Linked DNA regions of Arabidopsis thaliana. The main gene of each other region encodes a partner of the protein of the gene in region 3 in a complex. Each region holds a gene or a part of one and is shown on either strand. Other genes may lie near its edges.

What was found.
Region 1: AT1G15770 (region 3) and PFT1 share a complex: the UniProt entries of both Arabidopsis thaliana proteins name them as parts of the mediator complex.
Region 2: AT1G15770 (region 3) and GCT share a complex: the UniProt entries of both Arabidopsis thaliana proteins name them as parts of the mediator complex.
Region 4: AT1G15770 (region 3) and MED19A share a complex: the UniProt entries of both Arabidopsis thaliana proteins name them as parts of the mediator complex.

The regions. Positions count from the first base shown.
Region 1 is NC_003070.9:8,968,784-8,976,737, reverse strand, and holds PFT1 (phytochrome and flowering time regulatory protein (PFT1)), read left to right. Parts: upstream 1-1,922; 5' UTR 1,923-2,291; coding exon 2,292-2,395; intron 2,396-2,900; coding exon 2,901-2,931; intron 2,932-3,123; coding exon 3,124-3,187; intron 3,188-3,308; coding exon 3,309-3,439; intron 3,440-3,643; coding exon 3,644-3,847; intron 3,848-3,939; coding exon 3,940-4,005; intron 4,006-4,148; coding exon 4,149-4,365; intron 4,366-4,481; coding exon 4,482-4,549; intron 4,550-4,848; coding exon 4,849-5,646; intron 5,647-5,721; coding exon 5,722-5,775; intron 5,776-5,921; coding exon 5,922-5,950; intron 5,951-6,082; coding exon 6,083-6,151; intron 6,152-6,246; coding exon 6,247-6,331; intron 6,332-6,672; coding exon 6,673-6,759; intron 6,760-6,842; coding exon 6,843-7,346; 3' UTR 7,347-7,673; downstream 7,674-7,954. Other genes in the region: AT1G25550 (myb-like transcription factor family protein), read right to left, coding at 1-94. UniProt on the Arabidopsis thaliana protein: Component of the Mediator complex, a coactivator involved in the regulated transcription of nearly all RNA polymerase II-dependent genes.
Region 2 is NC_003070.9:20,635,731-20,640,385, forward strand, and holds the start of GCT (RNA polymerase II transcription mediator), read left to right. Parts: upstream 1-1,649; 5' UTR 1,650-1,863; coding exon 1,864-1,887; intron 1,888-1,968; coding exon 1,969-2,042; intron 2,043-2,135; coding exon 2,136-2,275; intron 2,276-2,361; coding exon 2,362-2,448; intron 2,449-2,609; coding exon 2,610-2,697; intron 2,698-2,786; coding exon 2,787-2,864; intron 2,865-3,111; coding exon 3,112-3,189; intron 3,190-3,278; coding exon 3,279-3,358; intron 3,359-3,611; coding exon of another isoform or gene 3,612-3,666; intron 3,667-3,762; coding exon of another isoform or gene 3,763-3,797; coding exon 3,798-3,876; intron 3,877-3,985; coding exon 3,986-4,312; intron 4,313-4,553; coding exon 4,554-4,613; intron 4,614-4,655. Other genes in the region: AAE18 (acyl-activating enzyme 18), read left to right, coding at 1-23, 100-225, 318-416, 510-719, 813-929. UniProt on the Arabidopsis thaliana protein: Component of the Mediator complex, a coactivator involved in the regulated transcription of nearly all RNA polymerase II-dependent genes.
Region 3 is NC_003070.9:5,426,176-5,430,161, forward strand, and holds AT1G15770 (mediator of RNA polymerase II transcription subunit), read right to left. Parts: upstream 2,106-3,986; 5' UTR 2,041-2,105; coding exon 1,954-2,040; intron 1,631-1,953; coding exon 1,121-1,630; intron 1,002-1,120; coding exon 717-1,001; 3' UTR 533-716; downstream 1-532. Other genes in the region: AT1G15760 (Sterile alpha motif (SAM) domain-containing protein), read left to right, coding at 1-147; AT1G15772 (mediator of RNA polymerase II transcription subunit), read right to left, coding at 2,526-2,759, 2,843-2,917, 3,010-3,057. UniProt on the Arabidopsis thaliana protein: Component of the Mediator complex, a coactivator involved in the regulated transcription of nearly all RNA polymerase II-dependent genes.
Region 4 is NC_003076.8:3,952,609-3,957,796, forward strand, and holds MED19A (mediator of RNA polymerase II transcription subunit 19a-like protein), read right to left. Parts: upstream 3,578-5,188; 5' UTR 3,301-3,577; intron 2,736-3,300; 5' UTR 2,678-2,735; coding exon 2,650-2,677; intron 2,528-2,649; coding exon 2,238-2,527; intron 2,004-2,237; coding exon 1,767-2,003; intron 1,578-1,766; coding exon 1,518-1,577; intron 1,358-1,517; coding exon 1,307-1,357; 3' UTR 1,211-1,306; intron 769-1,210; 3' UTR 532-768; downstream 1-531. Other genes in the region: AT5G12220 (las1-like family protein), read left to right, coding at 1-406; CLE22 (CLAVATA3/ESR-RELATED 22), read left to right, coding at 5,132-5,188. UniProt on the Arabidopsis thaliana protein: Component of the Mediator complex, a coactivator involved in the regulated transcription of nearly all RNA polymerase II-dependent genes.

The DNA.
Region 1 (7,954 bases), 3.5 Mb from region 3:
TCTTTTTTTGTTCTTCTTCTAGAGCTTCTACATATTCGTGACATCTCTTCATTTTCTGGGTGTAATCCATGTCACCGCTCTTGAACATCATCATTATGAACAGATCTTAGACTCGTTTTTGCTATGAGTTACAGTTACGAAAACATAAATCTTGAGAGAGACAGAGAAGAGTTTTGGATCTAAAATGAGAGAGAAAGGATAAAACTTTGACGTTTTTAAGTTGGAAGTTTTAAAGGGCAGAGAAAGAGGATTGGTGTCTAATCGAGGTCGGGCCGTCGCGTACCTAAAACCGAATCTTCTTGATGTTTAGATTTATTCGGATTTTACTTGGGAAAGGGTAGAATGGTAAATATAGGAATAGGCTGAGGTTTGTTTGATACAGGGAGAATATTCGGGGATATGTGGATTCCTTCCTTTCCATATTCTATCGAGCTGGCGATGATGTCAGCATTCTCATGACGTTGACGTTGAGATAAGAACGACGAGTCATTTTAGTCATTACTAACTCTTTCTTTTTTCTTCGGTTATTCTCTACCTATTTTAGAAATATACACATGAATTTTTTTGTAATAACAAACGAGTGAAGAAGAATATCCATAGAGATTGGAATCAAGATATGTAACCAGAAAATTTTAAACATTCATTAAATTTACAGTTTAGAATATATTATATGGTATCATATCATAAATTACATTTTTATCAGAAAAGAAAAAGATAAAGAAGTTTTTGGCAAAAGTGGAGGAATATTCCTCGAGAGTAGGGGAGAAACTAAGCTGGAAAAAAACATATTAAATTGGAAAAAATTGGGAAGGAGAGAATCTTTGGAAGAGTGACATTCACACATATCCAGATCCCCCCGTTTCCTCATGAATTGTTAAATTTTGGCCCTTCACGCTATCGAAGAGCCACCTGCCCCATATCACACCAACCTACTCGCCTCTTTTCACGCGCTTCATTGTGTGTTGTTGTGTTGTGATATATTCAAGCAATTCTCGTGAATACCTGACGATTCTAAATTGGTTGGCGACAAAAACACACACAAAAAAACACACACTATAAAACGGAATTAAGTGTCTAATTTTGAGTATGTATTCTTGAGAAAATTTCTCTAAATAGTTTGGAGATTGAGGTTTTTGTACTGTCTGCTACGGTTACCAAACTGTAGAAACTATTGTGTATCAATAATTAAATTTGGATTTTTAAGGACAATTGTAAAAGCTTATAACTAGGTGATGGATTGAGTTGTGGTAAAGTCAAATTGTTCGAGAGGTCGTAAACAGTGAGAAGCAATTTAAGGAAGATGATAATTATTCATTTGTGATGGTTTCTTTGAGTTATGGTCTTATGGATAATGTCCATGGATGTGAAGACCACCAACATTGTATTAGATAAAAAAAAACTACCACGTGAAAAGTAGTTGATTTTGGGTTCTCATGACTTCTCACAAACTCACGTTTCCATAGCATTGCATGGCAATTTACAATGTGTTGCCCCTCCCTTAGTACTACCAATACTACCATATGAACAACGATCGGGATCAGCAAAATCTATAGCTTTGTAGCCGTCTTCTATGACTCATCTCTTCCACAAAAAGTCATTGACATCAACTAGTCTAAGATGACTGACATACGAAATTGGATCCTATTTTCCACTAGGCCACTCTGAAAAGAAAAAAACACAGATAAAAAGGCCATGCGGCCCATGTCCAACTTTTGGACCAATCTTAAATGGCCTTCACAATGGTTATCATGGCCTTTATTTGATTCAAGTCTGGACTAACTACAACTATGTATACAAAATGTTTATCCACATAGCCCAAAATAAGATATCAAATTGGTTACTTTCATTTTTTTTTACGTGATCGACCTTAAGCTTGTTGTTAGTTTTGGCGTTCGATGAACCACCTCCAAACCAATTATATTCTTCACAAGATTCTCTGCATTTATCCCACAGATGGTAAACAATCTAATCAAATTAAATTCACTTCTTCACCAAAAAAAATAAAATTAAATTCATTGCCCAATTTACACAAATAAAAAGATAGTAACGACCAAGTCCTTTGTATATCCCATTTTCTATTCGGAGCATCCAAACCAAATTTTGTCAATCTAATTTATCTTCTCCTCTCCCGGAGAAGAAGGAAACTTACAATTTACAAAGAACGAGCTTCAATAAAAATTTCCAAAGAAATTACCGTCGGCGAATCGTTAGGCTCGAGAAGAATCACCAAATTCCAAGGGGAGAGAGACTGAATTTTCTTTTGATTCACGTAACAACAACGCTCAGAGACTATGTCGTCGGAGGTGAAACAGCTGATCGTCGTTGCTGAAGGCACCGCCGCTTTGGGTCCTTATTGGCAAACCATCGTCTCCGACTATCTCGAGAAAATCATCAGGTTTTTCTTTTTATGAACCTTGTATCTCTTTTAATCCTCGTTATTTGATTTTCATTCGGAGTTAGGGTTTAGCTGATACCGTTCGAATCAGGCTTTAATTTCAATTGGTTAGATCAAACCTTTGTTTATCCTCTGATTCCACAATGTTTTGTTGTTCGTTGTTAGTACTGTGTTTATGTATTTGATTGTTCTGTGTTTCATATTGAGCAATCACTTTACGTTACCTTATGGTTCCTACATTCTTTTTTTGTGTTAGGACATTGTTTTCGATACAACGCATTCATAAAGCAATGAATTTGTAGTTTCTCACTTCGATCACGTAAAATTGATATTAATATGTGATTACAGAGAATTTAGTATATAATTGCCTGTATAGTTTGTAACTAATCACATTGTTGGCTATTCTTAATATCCACTCAACATAGTATTGTATTTCAAAGTAGCGTTTTTGTATGTTAAAATTTCAATTACATAATCTGTCTATGCATTCTTTGCATTTGTCCAGGTCTTTCTGTGGCAGTGAGTTAAATGGAGAGGTACTATATCTGACTTATCCTCGTTTTTAAGTTTACTCAAGTTTTCATTCTTGAGCAAACAGTTAATCAATGTTTTTGACCAAACTCATATACATTCGTTATCTGTCAAATCATTGCGACACAAAAAATAACAGAGCAAATTGGTAGTTTGATGTGTCTGATCGAGTCTTTATATATTCACTAAACTTGCAGAGGAACCCTGTTTCTACTGTTGAGCTATCACTGGTGATCTTCAATTCTCATGGTTCATATTGTGGTACGTGTTGTGCTTCATCTTGTGATATCCAAATACAAATATTATTTGGGTGCTTTCTCATGGCCCTGGTTACATTAGCTTTTGTTTTAGTAATGTTGTTCTTATCTTTCATTCTTCTTAGCTTGCTTGGTACAACGGAGTGGCTGGACAAGGGATGTTGATATTTTCTTGCATTGGCTTTCTTCCATACAATTTGGTGGTGGTGGTTTCAATGAGGTTGCCACAGCTGAAGGGCTTGCCGAAGCATTGATGGTGGGAAACTTGATCTCTTTTCATCTGTGACACAACTATAAGACATATGTTTGGGCCACTTTCTTTCAAGCTACTTTTGACTAATTTACTTTCTCAATAAAATTAACTTTTTTCTTTCCATGGCTTCATTTTATGTGGTGGTGCTTCTGTCAGCGATTTTCTCGATCCTTAAACCTCACAATTTTCTCTGACTTCATGACACAGATGTTTTCTCCTCCTTCAGGCCAAGCTCAACCAAGTAACGATCTGAAAAGACACTGTATCCTAATCACAGCCAGCAATCCTCACATATTGCCAACACCTGTATATCGTCCACGATTGCAAAATGTGGAACGGAATGAGAATGGTGATGCGCAAGCTGAGAGTCGATTATCAGATGCTGAGACAGTGGCTTCATATTTTGCTAAGGTACTTTTTTTAACTGATTCCCCCAGGTATTACAACTAGCTATAATTACTCCTTTTAATGGGAAATTACTAACCTGCCATATTGGTGTGCAGTGTTCTGTTTCTTTGTCTGTTGTATGTCCAAAGCAGCTTCCAACAATTAGAGCACTATACAATGCGGTGAGACTGCGTGTCTATTTGCTATTCACTAGATGTACATCTATCAAAAGTCTTTCTTTTGTCAGACAGCTCTTTCAAAGGCTGTCTTTATTCTCAATGCTATAAACTGGTGTAATCTTTGTTTTATACTGTTTTAAATGCAGGGAAAGCCCAATCAACAAAGTGCGGACTTGTCAATTGACACGGCTAAGAACACATTCTATCTTGTCCTGATCTCGGAGAATTTTGTGGAGGCATGTGCTGCCTTAAGTCATTCTGCTACAAATTTGCCACAGACTCAGAGCCCTGTGAAAGTGGACAGGGCCACTGTTGCTCCATCTATTCCAGTCACTGGGCAACCTCCAGCTCCTGTGTCATCAGGTTCTTCTACTGACAACATCCATTTTTCTTAGTCCAACTATCTTGATTTTTCTTTGTGCTTCTTTGGATTCTATCCTGCTTCTCTATATGAAGATCTCTTTTTGTATGATTTTCAGCCAATGGACCTATTCAGAATCGGCAACCAGTTTCTGTTGGACCAGTTCCAACTGCTACTGTGAAAGTTGTAAGTCTATTTGATCTTTTTAGTCAGTTGGAGGAGTCAGCTCTATCTATTGGCAACCGACTCTTGTATGTTTTATAAGAATTATTTACTAGATATTAGCCGAAAATGAATTGTAAATTTATTCTCTGGTGCTTGATAAGACATTACAAATTTTTATGTGTTAATCAACTAGATTTAATGTTAAGTTCATATGAATATCCCATTTGTGAAATAATATTGTATACTCAATCAGCTTATTAGATAGCATATCTTCACATTAGTAGAAGCCTGTTAATCAGATTTTTGGAATGAAATTGCAGGAGCCTAGCACCGTAACTTCTATGGCACCAGTTCCTAGTTTTCCCCATATCCCGGCTGTAGCTCGGCCTGCTACACAAGCAATTCCTTCGATTCAAACATCTTCAGCATCACCAGTTTCTCAGGATATGGTCAGCAACGCCGAGAATGCACCAGATATTAAGCCTGTGGTGGTCAGTGGAATGACGCCACCATTGCGTACTGGTCCTCCTGGTGGAGCCAATGTAAATCTGCTTAATAATCTTTCTCAAGTCCGACAAGTCATGAGCTCTGCAGCTCTGGCAGGTGCAGCCTCATCGGTTGGGCAAAGTGCGGTTGCAATGCATATGTCAAATATGATATCAACAGGAATGGCTACATCTTTGCCTCCTTCACAAACTGTGTTTTCAACTGGACAGCAGGGAATTACTTCAATGGCTGGTTCGGGTGCACTAATGGGATCTGCACAAACGGGACAAAGCCCGGGTCCTAATAATGCCTTTAGTCCTCAAACAACGTCAAATGTCGCTTCAAACCTTGGTGTTTCACAACCAATGCAAGGGATGAACCAAGGAAGTCATTCTGGAGCAATGATGCAAGGTGGAATTTCCATGAACCAAAACATGATGAGTGGTCTTGGTCAAGGAAATGTCTCCTCTGGAACAGGTGGAATGATGCCTACTCCAGGAGTTGGCCAACAAGCGCAATCAGGAATACAACAACTTGGTGGCAGTAACAGCTCAGCTCCTAATATGCAGCTATCACAGCCATCATCGGGGGCTATGCAGACTTCACAATCCAAATATGTGAAAGTCTGGGAGGTAATGTCAGTTTATCTTGTCTAAAATAACGGTGATCTTGTGCTAACTTTTACTTACATTTTCAAATTCATGCAGGGAAATTTATCTGGGCAAAGGCAAGGGCAGCCTGTTCTTATCACCAGACTTGAGGTGTGTTTAGGGGCACTTACTATGCACTTTTCTTTCCCCTTTTCTGAATTTACTGGGATCACATGCTTAAGCACATCTTCCTCTGTAGAACTTTGTTGAATTGTTCCAAGTAGATATTAACTAACGTCTTTGTTTATATTTGACAGGGTTACCGAAGTGCTTCTGCCTCTGATTCGTAAGTTTATAACTAATTGAAATATGAAAACTGCTTCCTTACTAAACCTTGTCAGGAGAGCAGTCGACTCCTTAAGAAATGATTGTAGCTGCTAAACTAATTTTTGCTTTCTCTTTTTGTGCATCTCCCCAGGTTGGCAGCAAACTGGCCACCAACTATGCAGATTGTTCGTCTCATATCCCAGGACCATATGAATAACAAGTAATATCTTCGTGCTATATCCTTCCTTATTCCAAATGGCTCATGGGTGGATGTTGATTTCATGCCACTAAATATTTCACCTGACTTTGCATCAGGCAATATGTTGGCAAAGCTGACTTCCTTGTGTTTCGGGCCATGAGTCAACATGGGTTCTTAGGACAACTTCAGGATAAAAAGCTTGTGAGTATTGTTGATAATTTATGCCACTTGTCTCCTTTTCCTTATTGTTTCACTACAAATTTAATAACAAAATGATGAATGGTGTTTACTGGTTTATTAGATATTAGGATGAATTAGATGTTAAGAATGAAAATCTTTGAAAAAATATATGTACTTACATCTGTAAACATGTTCTCGGTGAATCTATCAATCTCTTGCTATGTTCACCATACACTTAACGATGCCTACGCTTGTATGTAGCCTTGTTTTGATTAGCCTAATCGTGTGCCATACTATTGTCATTTTCACGCTTAGCTTTTGTGGAGTTGTATATGATAACTTTGTCATCCTCCGTATTGCAGTGTGCAGTCATCCAGTTGCCATCACAGACGCTTCTTCTCTCTGTCTCTGACAAGGCTTGCCGCTTGATTGGAATGCTTTTCCCAGGGGTAAGGAAGTACTAAGTTTAAGGTGTCTATATATGTTTTGCTTCACATTAGTGACTCTTGAGGGTTGTTTTGTTTACTCCTAGGATATGGTTGTGTTTAAACCACAAATTCCAAATCAGCAACAGCAGCAGCAACAACAACTCCACCAGCAACAACAACAACAACAGCAGATCCAGCAGCAGCAGCAACAACAACAACACCTCCAACAGCAACAGATGCCACAACTCCAGCAACAACAACAACAACACCAGCAGCAACAGCAACAGCAGCATCAATTGTCACAGCTCCAACATCATCAGCAGCAACAACAACAACAGCAGCAACAACAGCAGCAGCATCAATTGACACAGCTTCAACACCATCATCAGCAGCAGCAGCAGGCGTCGCCGCTGAATCAGATGCAGCAGCAGACTTCGCCGCTCAATCAGATGCAGCAACAGACTTCGCCTCTGAATCAGATGCAGCAGCAACAGCAGCCTCAACAGATGGTAATGGGTGGTCAAGCTTTTGCACAAGCCCCTGGAAGATCACAACAAGGTGGTGGTGGAGGGCAGCCTAACATGCCTGGAGCTGGCTTCATGGGATAAATAAAAATATCAGCTTCAGTGCTAATTAATTAGATTTATCATAACTTAACATTCTTTCTTTCTTCTTTGGTCAACTCGATCGTCGCCATGGTTTTAGACTCTGTTTAGTTGTCCTTTCTGTTCTTTTGAGCCTGAAAATGGCATGTCCTATTCTGTATGGGTCTGACCATTTAGCTACGGCACCAAACTATTTTGTCATTTTCTTAAGATAAATAGAAAAAAAGTGGATGATTTCTATTTTGTTGGTGTTTCTATATGCTGATAATAACTTGTTATCTAGCTTTTTATTTGATTGACAAGGAAATAAAGGATCAAACCCATTTCATAGTTGGGTCATGATTGGACTTTGTGTTTTATTTGCAGGTAAGAAATATACATTTCTATTAGAAAAGGTTTATGGTTGATAGTTAAACAAACTTATCTAAATATACCATTTCCAACTGCATATTGCATCAGAGAATTACTTGCTCAAAATTACATCATTGACAAACTAGGATTTTTTAAATCTTTTAAGTTTAAATTATCATCATAAATCAAATTTCATTTTGAAAACCAAGAAAATAGAAACCCGTAAACCTTACACAAAAATGCTTCTCATGTTGTTGTAG
Region 2 (4,655 bases), about 15 Mb from region 3:
TCGATGAAAATGGCGTCCCATATGTGACAAACTGAAACTTTAGACATTTGGAGTATTTTCTTAGAATATCCAGAGATTGATGTAGACTGGTTTTTGCAGCCGGATGATCAACCATGTACTGGAGAAGTCGGTTTGTTCCCCCAGCACCTTGGGGCCACGGATAGACTTCTGAATGCAAATCACGACGAGGTTTACTTCAAGGGAATGCCCATGTATAAGGAAACAGTGAGTAGTTTTAGAACTTCTATATTTACATCTAAACAAAATTGCAAACTTACGTCAGTTAAACGATTCCTCTGTTCTGTTGCGTTCTGCAGCGACTTAGAAGACACGGTGACATTGTGAAGCGAACTGTTGGAGGATATTACAATGTTCAAGGTAGAGCTGATGATACCATGAACCTTGGAGGCATTAAGGTACTACATACATTGTATGTCTATATACCCAACTTCGATTAGAGTTGGAACTTTTCTCAAGTTTTCATCTTTTGTTTATCTGTTATAACGCAGACGAGTTCTATTGAGATCGAACGTGTGTGTGATCAAGCTGATGAGTGCATCTCTGAGACAGCTGCAGTCACCTTAACACCACCTAACGGTGGTCCAGAGTTGCTGGTCATATTCGCAGTCTTGAAAGAAGGGTTCAAGCAACAGAGTGGAGAAGAGCTAAAGATGAAATTTTCAAGAACCATTCAAAAAGATCTTAATCCTCTCTTCAAGGTAATCAATATCTTTGATGAGTTTTTCTATAAATTCAAAGTTATTATAAGATTTTTTGTGTGCTTAAAAATGGATTTTGCAAAAATATTGCAGGTGAGTTTTGTGAAGATTGTGCCGGAGTTTCCAAGAACAGCTTCTAGCAAGCTACTGAGAAGAGTCTTGAGAGATCAGATTAAGCAAGAACTACTATCCTTACGAAGTCGAATATAAAGCCTTGATCTTAAGTTTAACTAGAATAAAATAAGATCTGCTGAGTAGTAGTTGATCTACACATGATTGGGTACTGCTCGGTCCAAATAAGAAAACCGATTAAATCAAATCTACCGGTCCTTGAATTCTCTAGCCTGATTCACATTTACATGACTAAACACTTTGACTTTGTTATGTTTGTGTTTGTGTTTGGTGTATATATTTCATATCAGATTATAATCTTAATTTTCCTCAAGATTATCTTTTGTTTAAATTTGTAAAAATATTTCGGACGATACTCATACATCCCATAAGGCTTTGAGACATCTGAATAGTATCACCACGAATGACCTATGGAACCAGAAGACAACTAGCCGCACCCAACGATACAAAGATAGCGTTAAGATCATTCGAGGTCTAGCTATATCGTGGTATACAAAATCTAGAAAATATAAAGTAAAACCATAGCATTGTTTGGTTCATTTGATTGATGCAAGTCAAACAAACTCGAAAGAATGAGATCTTAATACCAAAACTTCAAAAACACTTGATATTAAACACCTTATTTGGAGGAAACTCTTTTATGATGCTTGTGGTTGGCGGTTTTTTTTTTTGAACCAGAGTGTTGTGAAAATAATGAATTGGGCCTGACTAAAACAAATTGGGCCACAGAAAAAAAAAGAATTAGTAAGAGCAACAAAAAAAAAAGAACCCTAAAGAGCGCGTTTGGATCTGGTTTTATGAAAACCACGAGAGATTTCGTGTTGAGATGATTATGATGTATTGAAGAGTTTTGATCAAAAGAGAGATATAAACCTCGCAACATCAAGAGAAGATCGAGCTAGAAATTGACAACGTCTTCCAATTCCGAGCGCTTCAAGACGATGATTTTGGGGTTATAGCCTATAATTTGAAGAAAAAAAAGGATTGAACTTGTTGTATCTATCCCCAAGTGATGTGGACTAATGTTTTCAGAATTGTAAGTCTTATTCTATCATCTTTTTCCCATTGTGTGTGAAAATTGACTTATTGGTAATACATGATGATTTTTCTTCTACAGGGTGGTCTACATAATGTTTCTTGGTTTCAGTTTCTTCCAAGTGAAACTGAGCTGAATCCTGGCTTTGATAGAAGGTTAAAGCTTTAAGCTTTTTCAATGGGTTGTTTTAGTTTTTCCTTATTGACATTGTACTAATTAGTCTGGTCACTCTGGAGTTTTTTTTTCAGTTCAAGAGCTGAGCAGAATGAAGTTGCAACATATCTTGTACTTTCCTCTCATCTACGGTTGCAGAAGGAAGGGTTTCTTACCACTTGGACCAATTCTTTTGTTGGACCTTGGGATCCATCTCAAGGTTTATACAACCCTGGTAATGCTAAATCTCAATCTGGTACTTTTAAATTTTGTAACTTTATTTACAGTTGTATCTAACCATCATTCCTCGCTGCTGCTCAGATGAAAAGATTAAGCTTTGGCTTTTTCTACCTGGGCGTCATTCATCAATATCTGATAAAGCTCAGGCTGCTGTGTCAAAGCTTAGAGGTATATTCTCCTTATGATTTATTTTCTTCATCGTATTTTGTCGCCTCAATAGATTCAAACATATTGTCTCTATTCTGATTATGACTGTTTAGTGAACATGCCTGTGGTCTATGGTTATCTTGGTATACTTGTCCTTACTTTTCTTTTTCTCCTGTTGAAAGTTGTTGCGTCAGGAATTTGGGTAGCACCTGGGGACTCTGAAGAGATATCAGTTGCCTTTTCACAGTCTTTACGTAATTGCATCGAAAGGTTAGTTTTTTATTATCTGCAGACATAATGGTTGGATTAAGGAAATAATGGATTAGAGTATCATATTAACTTGTTTGATATCGCCACAGAGCATTATCTGGAATTTCCTACATGAGATTTGGAGATGTGTTTTCAAAATTCAGCCCTCAAAGCGAAGAATATTTGAGGTATCTGCAACCTCTTACCAATATAAGCGAGACCATGCGTTATAATCTCTGATGGTTTATTAGCAAATATATCGTCTTTTTTCTCTATGGCTTTTCGATTATGTATTATCCTATAGCTTTCATTAAATAGGGTCTGTGAGACCTAGGTTTCCTGAGTGTAATTCTTAGAATCCAAAGAATTCTATGATTAGGTCTGTGGCTCGCTAATGCTCTGTGGCTCGCTAATGCTCTGTGGATATTTATGTAGGAGGGGACAGCCTACTGTTGAATTCATCTTTGCTGCTACCGAAGAGGCAGTTTTTGTCCATGTCATTATATCTGCCAAGTCCGTAAAGCTTTTTGTTATACTGTTTCAGTTATGGTTTAGTGCTTCACATAGTTATTGAAACTAACTATAATATTTTATGCACGAAGGAATGTCCGCACACTTTCAAGTGGCGATGCTGAAAGAATGTTAAGGAGTTCTTTGAAAAACTCCAGTTATAGGCTTCCAGGTTAGTTATTTTTCCATCATCATTTGGATTGATAAATTATCCTACTTGTCTACGATTTTGATGGAACTAGTTCTAGATGTTTGTTGACCTCTTCTTGCTTTGTACTGTTAGAATACTGTATAGATTGAGAGCATTTTGAACTCAATTTTCAATGCATCCACTCCAAAAAGAAACCTAGTGTAGTCTAGTGCTACTGCTACCTAGCTTCATCAAGCAAAGATTTAACACCTCATTTTTTTGCATGTCACAAGAGCTTTTCGTAAATGTTTGGGATTGGCCAAGAGTGAGGATAATAGATTATGCTACATGTAATTCTATGAAGCCAAACTTTTTGAATTGATACCTGAAATGAAATCCGCCTTCTACACATGCTTAAAGAAAGATAAGAGCTTTTTATTTGATAGAAACACTTCTCACAGGCCTATGTTATTCCCACCAGTTATTGTTTCTCCTCATGGAATGCGGGGCAGCCTTACTGGATTCTGTCCCAATGACCTTGTCAAGCAAGTCTACTTCAGGTACATTTCATACCTTTGCTTTCGAATGCCAAGTCAACATTTTTTGTGAGTGCGTAGCCGTTAATCTGATTAATCCAATTTTCTCAACTAATACTTTTTTCTCACACAGTTCTGGAAACTTAAAAACTTCGACTGGATATGTTGGTCTCCCTTCTCATATTGGTCGTGGGTCCCGTCTGATAAATGGCAATCATTGCTACGTGGAAGTTACACTTGGTTGCTGCCAAAATAGAAATGACAACACAAGTCAAGCTAATTCGACCTTTGCAGTTAACTTGCCCCATAACCAGTGTCCTGAACCTTCAGTTGGGAGTAAAGATCACCGTAAAGGACAATCAGATCTTTCATCAGTTTGTGAAAAAAAGTTCATCTATCCAGCTGAGGCAGTGCTTGTACCAATCTTACAGTCGGCATTTGCGAAATTTTCTTTGAAAAGGTAAATTGACTAGGTGAGGTGGTTATTTAGAATTCATTGAGTACTTAACGGTAAGATCCAGATTGGCTATACATAAAATTTATTTCGTTTCTGTTGAATTCCATGTATGTATTAAAACAAATTGACTCTGTGTGATCGTAGTGGAAGTTTTAGTAATTGTTTCAGACCCATGTTAAATAGATGTAATAGTTGTGATCTTTCCTCAGCTTGGAGCTGATGCAAGGTGAAATCATACTTGCAGATTTTGGCTTCAAAACTGGATAGGCCCGTCACTAGCAGGCTCATCTTTGTTTATGCACTGGTGAGTCTTTTTCATCTATCTCGTCGACATTTGAAGATCAAA
Region 3 (3,986 bases):
ACCAATGGGACTCCTTGTAGAATCGATAGCTTCTCAAGTCCCATGGTTTTCGATTACAGTTTCAAGGATGAGAAACTTTACGCTCAAGATACTTATTTTGAAGATATCAAATGGGATTCAATGTTTCAGAATCTCAAACCTACTTAGAAAAATCTCTAAGTTCTGTTTTATGTTTTCTCTTTCAGCTTCTTCTTCGTTCTTTATATCAGAATTGATGGTGAGAGATGAGGTTTTAGGGTTCTTCCACCATGTTTTCTTGATTTTGTCTTTGTATGTGATTAGGCTAGTTAATTTTTGTTAGTTAACAATTGGAAAATAGAGTTGAGTGGTGGTGTCAGGTGTGTATGTGAGTGTGTGGGGTCATTGTAATGAGTCTGTCTCTCCAGTCTTTGCTTTTGGCCTAAGTCTCTGTTCCAGTCAAAACTTCTTTACAGCTTTTATCACTTTTTACTCTTTTCTCAAAAAATGCTCTGTTTACACACATAACCATGACGCTAAGCCTGCCGGAGTGATCTTACTCTTGAGGTAATCGGAAAGATCTTGAGCTCAGGACACTACACAGTCTACACTAGAGCACACAAAACATTGTGCTTCCAAATTTTATCTGTTGTGTGTGTGTCAATTTTCAGATATACCTAAGGGAAGTGTAACTGAAAACCATACCTCAGTTCTTGGCTTCTTGCCACCACAAGTCACAGTAGATTCCATATCTGATGTTACCAAACCAGCAAAATGCTTGTAGCTATTACCAACGCTTTCCTCCCAATGAAGCAACACTTGATGGCATTGGGGTTGTCTGACGCTTCCTTTTCATGGTCGCCATCTTGCGTCATGAAGTTTCTTTCTTGGAGATGGCACTTAGTCATTGCAACCAAGTCCACACCAAATGAAGCTCTTGAACCTTTGCCTGGTACTGAACCAGCAATCCTATCAACCATGCTTACAACAGATCTAATATCACATACTGCAGACGAAAGCGCTTGTGGTGAGATGGATTTCATCTGAAAACAACAGAAAGCAAACATCAAGATCAGAACAATGTTTCCACGGCAAATGAGGGATGGCAGCAATGACACTGCCCTGTTGCAATATACCCTTCAAAATTAGTAACGTTACTTACGGCTCTAATAAGGCGTTCAATAGGCAGCTCAGTAGCACTCGATTTTCCACAAGTACTTGTCAAAGGATTTATAATATTTCCATCAGGACTGGTAAGCTCCGGAAGGAGAGGAGAGGCAGAGATCCCTGGAGTGCCAATTTCAAGGGATTGAAGTACACCTTGCCTGATCTGTTGTACCCTTGACCCAGCACCCTGCATGCTCATTGATTGCATCTGCAGAGTTGTTTGGTCATCATGAGACTGATCTTGAACTGTCTGAGATAGTGGTTGCTGCATAGGCTGAATCTCAGATTTCGTAAGCTGCAGTTTCTGTACTGTCTTCCTCAGACTCTGCATATTTAAGAAATTCATAATGTTGTTCTTGCGATAATCCATACTATCCTTCAAGTCAGGTTTGATATTGCTCTTTGAAAGAGATAGGAAACGTAGCATTCCCTCCAACACTGTCTTGCCTCGTTTCAATTTCTCAAACTGATCTGATCTTTGTTTCTGATGCGAAAGAGAATCCTCCTAGAGAGAAAACGGAACGTATTCAGTAGAAAAGAAACAAACATATAGATGAACGTTAAAAGTTTACAACCTCTGTAGGTTTGGGAAGGAATATATCTGTCAGAAGGTTAACTTCTAGTGAACTATCTGTAAGTATAAGAGTCTGACGAACCTTTTACTTTGTTAAATGGGTAACAAGAATCCTAAGTTGTAGGACTTTCATTTGTAACAATGAACTGATCTTGCATTGAATTTGTAAAACTCTTCATAAAGTACTTAGTACTGTTCCAGAGGACGTACACGTGCAAACTAACTTCCTAGGAAGAATGAAAACTGTAACTTACTTGCTGCAACTTGGCTGCTACTCTCTGGTAGATTTCATTGAGGTCTCTTTGATGGATTTGATCTACAAAGAAAAGCAATATAATCATACATACGATTACTCATCATGGTGATATCATCTAGTAACAGAGAGATGATCCTGCTAGTAACAAAGGAATAATCTGGTTGTCGTAGTAATCTTTCAAGTAAGGCATGACATTGCTTCTTTGAAACAGATAGGAATTGTATCATTCTTCGCTCCAACATTGCCTTCAATCTCTCAAATTGCTTTAATCTCTGTTGATGGGTAAAAGAATTCTGCATGAATTCAATAAGAAACCAAACCCTACCCTACTAGTTGACGGAACACTAAAGCACCCACCAAAAACACACCTAATCTCCGAGAAATTAACATTTACAAAAAAAAAAAGGGTCTTTATTCATTTTTCGATCATAACTTGATAGGAGGAGCCTGGTAGAAACAGAGCACCGGAGTCAACAACATTGAGGATGAGAGTTCAAAACACATCAGAAGAGAGAAGACCAACATAAAAAGAGAGAGAGACAAAATATCTACAATGCATTTCCTTGATTATTATGAGACTGATCTTGAAGCTGCCTTTGCTGTACTGTCTTCCCAGCCGGTTCTTAGCGTAATTAAGAAATATATAATCCGTTTCTCATAATAGTCCCATCTACAATCCTTTAATATCGGCATGATATTTCTCTTTCGAAGAGATAGGACTTGGATCAATTGCTCTATGTTTGTCTTCATGCTTTGGAACTTGTCAAAGTGCTTTGATCTTTGTTGCTGCGGAAGCGATTCCTCCTGAAAAAAACAAACAAACTAGTATTACTACATCTATACAACTTAAGGCAGAGAGTTAATAGTTGACAGTAACTACATCTTACATGGTTCAACTTGTCTGCAAGTCTCTGGTAAACATCAGTCACATGTGGTAGATAACGCTCTCTCATGGATCTAAGCTGTATAAACAATTACACACCACAATGAATGATCCCGATGATGATTTAAGAAAGGAGTTTTATTATTATGATGATTATGACTTATGAGTTACCTTTTGGAAAACCTCCTCCCGCCAATCATCTCCATTTTCATTTTCCATTGTATCTACTATCTAGTGTTGCTAGCCAAGAAAAATAATTAAAAAGCGAGATTCATTCATCATCAGAAACTGTGTAAAAAAAAATACAAAAACCTAAAATTAGAGGTACACAAGTATCATCAATCCATAAAACTAGTTTCTTATGCAAAAGGTTTTGCTATCGACGAATCCATGGGTTTACTATGACACGTAATGAGATAGGTGACTCAAAATAAGGACCTTTTGGCGATGAATCTCCGAGACTTAGAACGGTCCGTTTGGATTTGGTTTTTCTCCAAACGTTCTTACGTTTCAATCTTTCTTTTAATAAGTGAAACGTAGCAATTAGGGTTAAGGAGAAGAATTAGAGATGATTGTTTTTGTTTTAATCATCTTTTGATTTTATAGAGAAACAAACAAGAGAGAGCTAAATACAAGGATTAAAAGGCTTCAACAACATTACAATATCAGGTTATTAAGCGAGGCCCAATGACCCAATAATAAGTACTTATCAGGCCCAAGTCTCTTCTGCAAATAATAAGTTTTTTGGAGTTTTTTTAAGTTTTCTATTTCACACAGTAAAGGCTAAAAATCGAGTAAAGAGACTTGTAGAAAAACCAGTGAAATCTCCGGCTATTTGTGTGACCAAAATGTTAATTATAGTCATTAACTAAATAAATCTCGTTCATGTACTAATTTGTATAGACAATTACACACCACACTGATCACTCCTTGTATCTTCTAACTTGATGACTTTATGATGATAAATCATCAATAATTACAATAAAAAAGTTAGCCATTTGGTATATACAAAAAAAAAAAAATGTTTCAAACAGCCATTTTATTGTGACAACTGAACAGAGTAAAGAAGTTGAAACTCTTCTGAACGATCTCAAAATGCGTATTACAACAAATCTCAAAATACAACATTCAGCAAGACCCCAAAAAAG
Region 4 (5,188 bases), on a different chromosome or scaffold from region 3:
CCCTTGTCCAATTGGTATGTTGCCTCGGATCATTGGATCTTCTGGACGTTTACCTCTTCTTGACAATCAGAATGCTAAGAGCATCTCAAAACAAGCACAAGGTAACAACAATGCGAAGAGAGGAGCTGAGTGTAATAGAAATCAATTGGAGAAATCGCCATGCAAGCGAGCAAGGAAGAGTGCAGGAGATTCTGAATCAAATGATGTGACATTGGAATCATACGAGGAAGAAGCTGAGATGGAAATAGAACATGCATATGAGGAAACTGAAACTGTAGCAGAAGAGAATCTGATGTGGAATGATGAAGAGGAAAGTAGAAGCTGCCTTATGATAGATGGTGAATGGAAAAGAGTAAATGATGGAGAACTCTCGGGGATGGCTTCTAGTGTTACAATTTGTGTTTGAGATTTCGACAGATGTAATCATATAATCCGACATATTTTTGAGAAAATAGTTCAGATATTTGATCAATTTTTACAGGCATAGTCGCAGACAGATAGACATTGTGACACTCAAGTAAAAGTAAATAAGTGGATTTGACAGTTACTTTTTCAACAACATCAATTGGTAAGTAAATTATTATACATGAATAGTAACGATTTGTGTTGTATTGAGTATATAGACAGAAAAGAGATGGAATAGAACACCCCAAGAAAAATGTTACAAATCTGACACCAAATCAATTATGATACTAAATTCTTCTTCTTCATTTCACAAATTTCCCCTTTCTTCTTCAAGGAATGAATTCACCAGTTTGGGCTTTTAACCTACAAAGCCAATCATTTTGTTCAACACAACTTGAAAATATAAGAAAGTAACAAAAATGTAAGCAATGATTTGTGTTAGCTGAGACTGTTCTATTTAGAAACACATCCTATCTTTGATATGTTCTTTCGACAGGTTACCCGATTTTCATTAGTTATGTATCACGGCAACTTTCTTAAGACCAGAAAAGAATCCAATACCAATACAGAAGTCGCACAGAGACACATACAATGTTCCCTTGCAAATGTTGCGTTATTTGGATTTCAGTAACTTAAAGAATACAACACAAAACTCAAGTATCTGCCTAAAAATATTATGGGTTCAGTTCCCCTAAAGTATAGTATCTGGACTATAACAGATGTATATGTTCTATGAAGGATCCCGGAATACCAAGAACACCGAAAAAATTGTACAAAAGAGACAGGACAGTACACAGATGCTTACCTAATAAGCTGTCTACAGTGAGTTGAAAAGTGCTTCTAAAGTCTCCATGACACCTACTCGAGTGCAGAATACAAAATTGGAATGTCTACAACTTTTTTAGCCAGCAACCCTTATTGCACCCACCTCATCAAGCTTTGAGCTTTTATGCTGCAACAGGTTCAATCAAGAGCTGAATCAATACAATTTATCAAAGACATATTACTAGTTCTCTAGCACCTTTGTGCAAAAAAAACATTATGGTGGAAATTTCATGTTGAGTGTTAATGAAGAACGAGAAAAATTTGAGGCCCCACTTCATTACCATTACCTTGTTTTTTTTGTGCCTCTGAACGTCATTAAGATCTTCATCTCCATCGTGTTTCCTTTTCTGAAATATAAGTGAAAAGGCTCCATAAAAACTCAATAAAATGTTCTAGAGCAGTCTCTAGATCTGCTAATTTCATGCCAAGCAGGTCAAAAAAGCAGCCTAACTCAAGAGCAACAAATACAAAACTTTCCATTAAGCTATTCTTCTTTGGAAAGACAGACACCTTCAACAAACAGACATGTTCTTTACCTTATCATGATGTTTCTTAGAATGATCACCCGAATCATGGTGGCCATTTTTGTCCTTCTTTCTGTCTCGGTCCTTGTCTTTATCTTTATCTTTGCTTCTATCTTTATGTTTGTGCTTGTGCTTCTTATGCTCTCTATCTTTGTCTTTATCCCTGTCCTTGTGTTTCTTATGTTTCCTGTCCCTATCTTTCGACTCACTTTTTGACTTAGACGGAATTGTAGGAGCTCCCTTCTCTGCCTGAAAGAAGAATAGTACCAAGGTCAATCATCTCCATAGGACACCCAGATGTAATTCACATTACTAGGGAAAGATTCTCAATTAACCAAAGAACTTGATGTTACAGGAAATAGGACATTCATTACTGAGCCAGTTTTTAAGTTCAATGTAATGGCAAATACTGTTACTCTTATGAAAAGAAGGACATTTAAAACTCAAAACACCAAGAGAGAGTGAGAAAGATCAGATTCTTACTGGGGGTAATTCAACAGGAGTCATATCATTTAGTTGGAAAGACTCCTGAAGCTCATCTATATCAAAAGGCTGGATGCGAATATTAGTCTCCCGGCTCTGTGATATGCTCTCAATAAGCTGATCTAATTGCATTCCTTCTCCTTTTCTGATCTCTGTGTCCCCAACCACATTATGAAGATAATGGGAATCTGATAAAGAAACAGGAAGAGATTTCTTGCAAAAGAATTCATGGTGTTGCACTAGTTTGAATTGAGATATAAGATCCGCAGCACCGCACAACTCTCTTGGACCTGCACTTGAAACAAACAACACATTGACCTCAAGGTGAGCCAAAGGGGAAAACAAAGGACAACGAGCTACAAAAAAAATAACTTCACGAACTGAAGAAGCTCCAAATTCGAAACCAATGTACCTCCAAATTTTAAACGTTCAGGCTCCATCTTCTCTATCGCACTCTGAATTTCTTTTGCATGATCACTGGCTCACTGCATATATATCCTACACAAGGAAACAAAAATCAGAAAAAGCATAGAGTGATAAGGAAATAATACTACTACAGAAAGCAAATTCAGCTTCGATACTATCTAAACTAACAATTCTGTAGCACAAACAATACAAAAGTTATAACTAAGCACCAGCTCATATTTCATAGTGACCAAAACTAAGAAGTAAGAAAATCTAATTTAGCATTAGATGCTATCAATTCTCAACTTTTCTGCTCCAAGCTCAAAAAAAATGAAACTAGCATCAGAAACAAAACCCTAGAAAGTTTTCGGAAGTTTGTAAAAGTAAAATTAGATACCAAGTCCATACATTTTGGATCTAGTCAACAAGAAAGTTTCATCAATTTGTTCTATTTAGGAATGAAGCTAACAAAAAAAAAATCAGACAAGCGAAGTAATCACTAGAAACGAAGATTAGACTCGATAAAAAAGCTTCAAGCAGAAGAGAAATTCGAAATTGAGGAATTTGGAATTCGAAAACGAAACAAGACAGAGCCCAATAGCAAAACCAAAATCTCAGATTCAATTGGTAGGAGAAAGAATCGAAACAATCAACATACACGTTTCTTTCGACAAGCCCAGATCTCGTTTGAGAAAGCTAGCTAACGAAAGCAGCGAAACGTGAGGGGGGAAGTGTTTGGGTCTTGGGCTTGGGTATCGAATTCCCGCCTAAAATTTTGATTTTAGCAAGTGATCGAGAAAGGACAGAGATCGAAGAAGGTTCGAGAGAGCGAAAAAGCGAGACTAGTTAGGGTTTGAGAGTCTTTTGTGTCTGATGACCAATGAGAGAGGAATTATTCTCTGTTTTCTTCCGTTGGCTTCTCTCTCAATATAATCAACAAATTACAGTCAGCCTTTTTTTATTATTATTCAAGGGCTCCGCGTGGGCTTCACGCGCTCCTTCAACACGGCCCACTTAACCAGACAAATCAAGGATCTTCCATTAGCTAAACCGTATTCGAACCGAGTAATGAATCTCTCTTTAACCGGTGGTACTCTTATCCAAACAAAAATATCCACGACTATTTATATCCGATTTAGATTGTTATCTCTTTCTATATTTTTTATTTACTTGAGTGAAAAACATGAATTGTTATTCTAAAAAACCATTATAAGACCGAAAATTATCAAAACATAAATAATGTAAGTTTTCAGTGTTTTGGGTTGGTCGGACAGGTCTAATCCGATCGAGACATGCCTAACAATATCTTCTACAATTTAAGATGAAACATACGATGAATACATACGTGTATATTTGCTGATATAACATCAGAGACAAAGTGCTTGACGAGAACAAAATGGAATAATGGTATTTTTGGGGATTTGAGTTTGTATACCTGCTCTCTACTATGTAAATGATGATTTGTCTGCTGTAAAATAAATGGGAATATAATATATAAAAACGTGATGACTGATGAGGATATATTGAGGTACATATCACATATGGTGTTTCTTGACAAATATTGGACGTAAGTCTTTGTTTTTTCTTCTATAAACTTTCAGCTTGATTTCTTAAAAACATTTGTTGCACAAGTTGTAAATACGTTTATCGAAGGTAGAAGATGCATATTGGAGAATCATATCCATATATGTATCATGTATGTAATTTAGTTCTTGTGATACTGTTTTCTTTATTCTCTTTCTTAACTCATAATAAAGTAAAATTAAAAAAAAAAAAGTAATCTTAGAAAGACTAAAAAACGAGAAGCAAATATAGATATACAACATTTATATAAAATGGAGAGGAAGAAGATTCAAGTGGTAAGTGGATTTTTTCATGTGTGTGAGTGAGTGTAAATGTGGGTGAAGAAAAAGGGAGTGAAGACAACATCATTTTCCCCAAAGAAAGCTAAGTCTTAGAATCATCACTCCAATTCCCTTTTTGGCCCCTTCTTCTCTCTTTTCTATTTCTTTCTACTTTTGACCCCCTTCACATAATTACCTTCCTCTATATGCTTTATTATCACACCCTCATTACTCTCTAAAACTAACCACTATAAGTATATTATTAACCACACTAATTACTACCACTTGACCTAGTAATCCCAGCTAAGACCTTTGGAAATGATTCAACACACAAAAAAAACTTTCGTTAAAAATTAATGATATATATATTTACAAACCTCTATCTAGTTTCTCTTCTCTTTATTTGTAGAAAGTGGTGGAGAATAAGAAAGGGAGAGCAACAAACTTTTAGAGGAAGTCATAGGTTAAAAGCCCCATAGCTTTTTCTTCCATCACTTTCATTCCTCTCTTCTCATTCTTACAGACTTTGAGAGAGAATTTATTTAAGAGATCTTGATCAGATCTTTTATACTTGCAAAAATCGATTCTAAATATATAATCTATACCTTATAGAGAAACTCTTCATATCTTGAAGATTCCTAAGAGATGGGAAATTACTACTCTAGAAGAAAATCTAGGAAACACATCACTACAGTTGCCTTG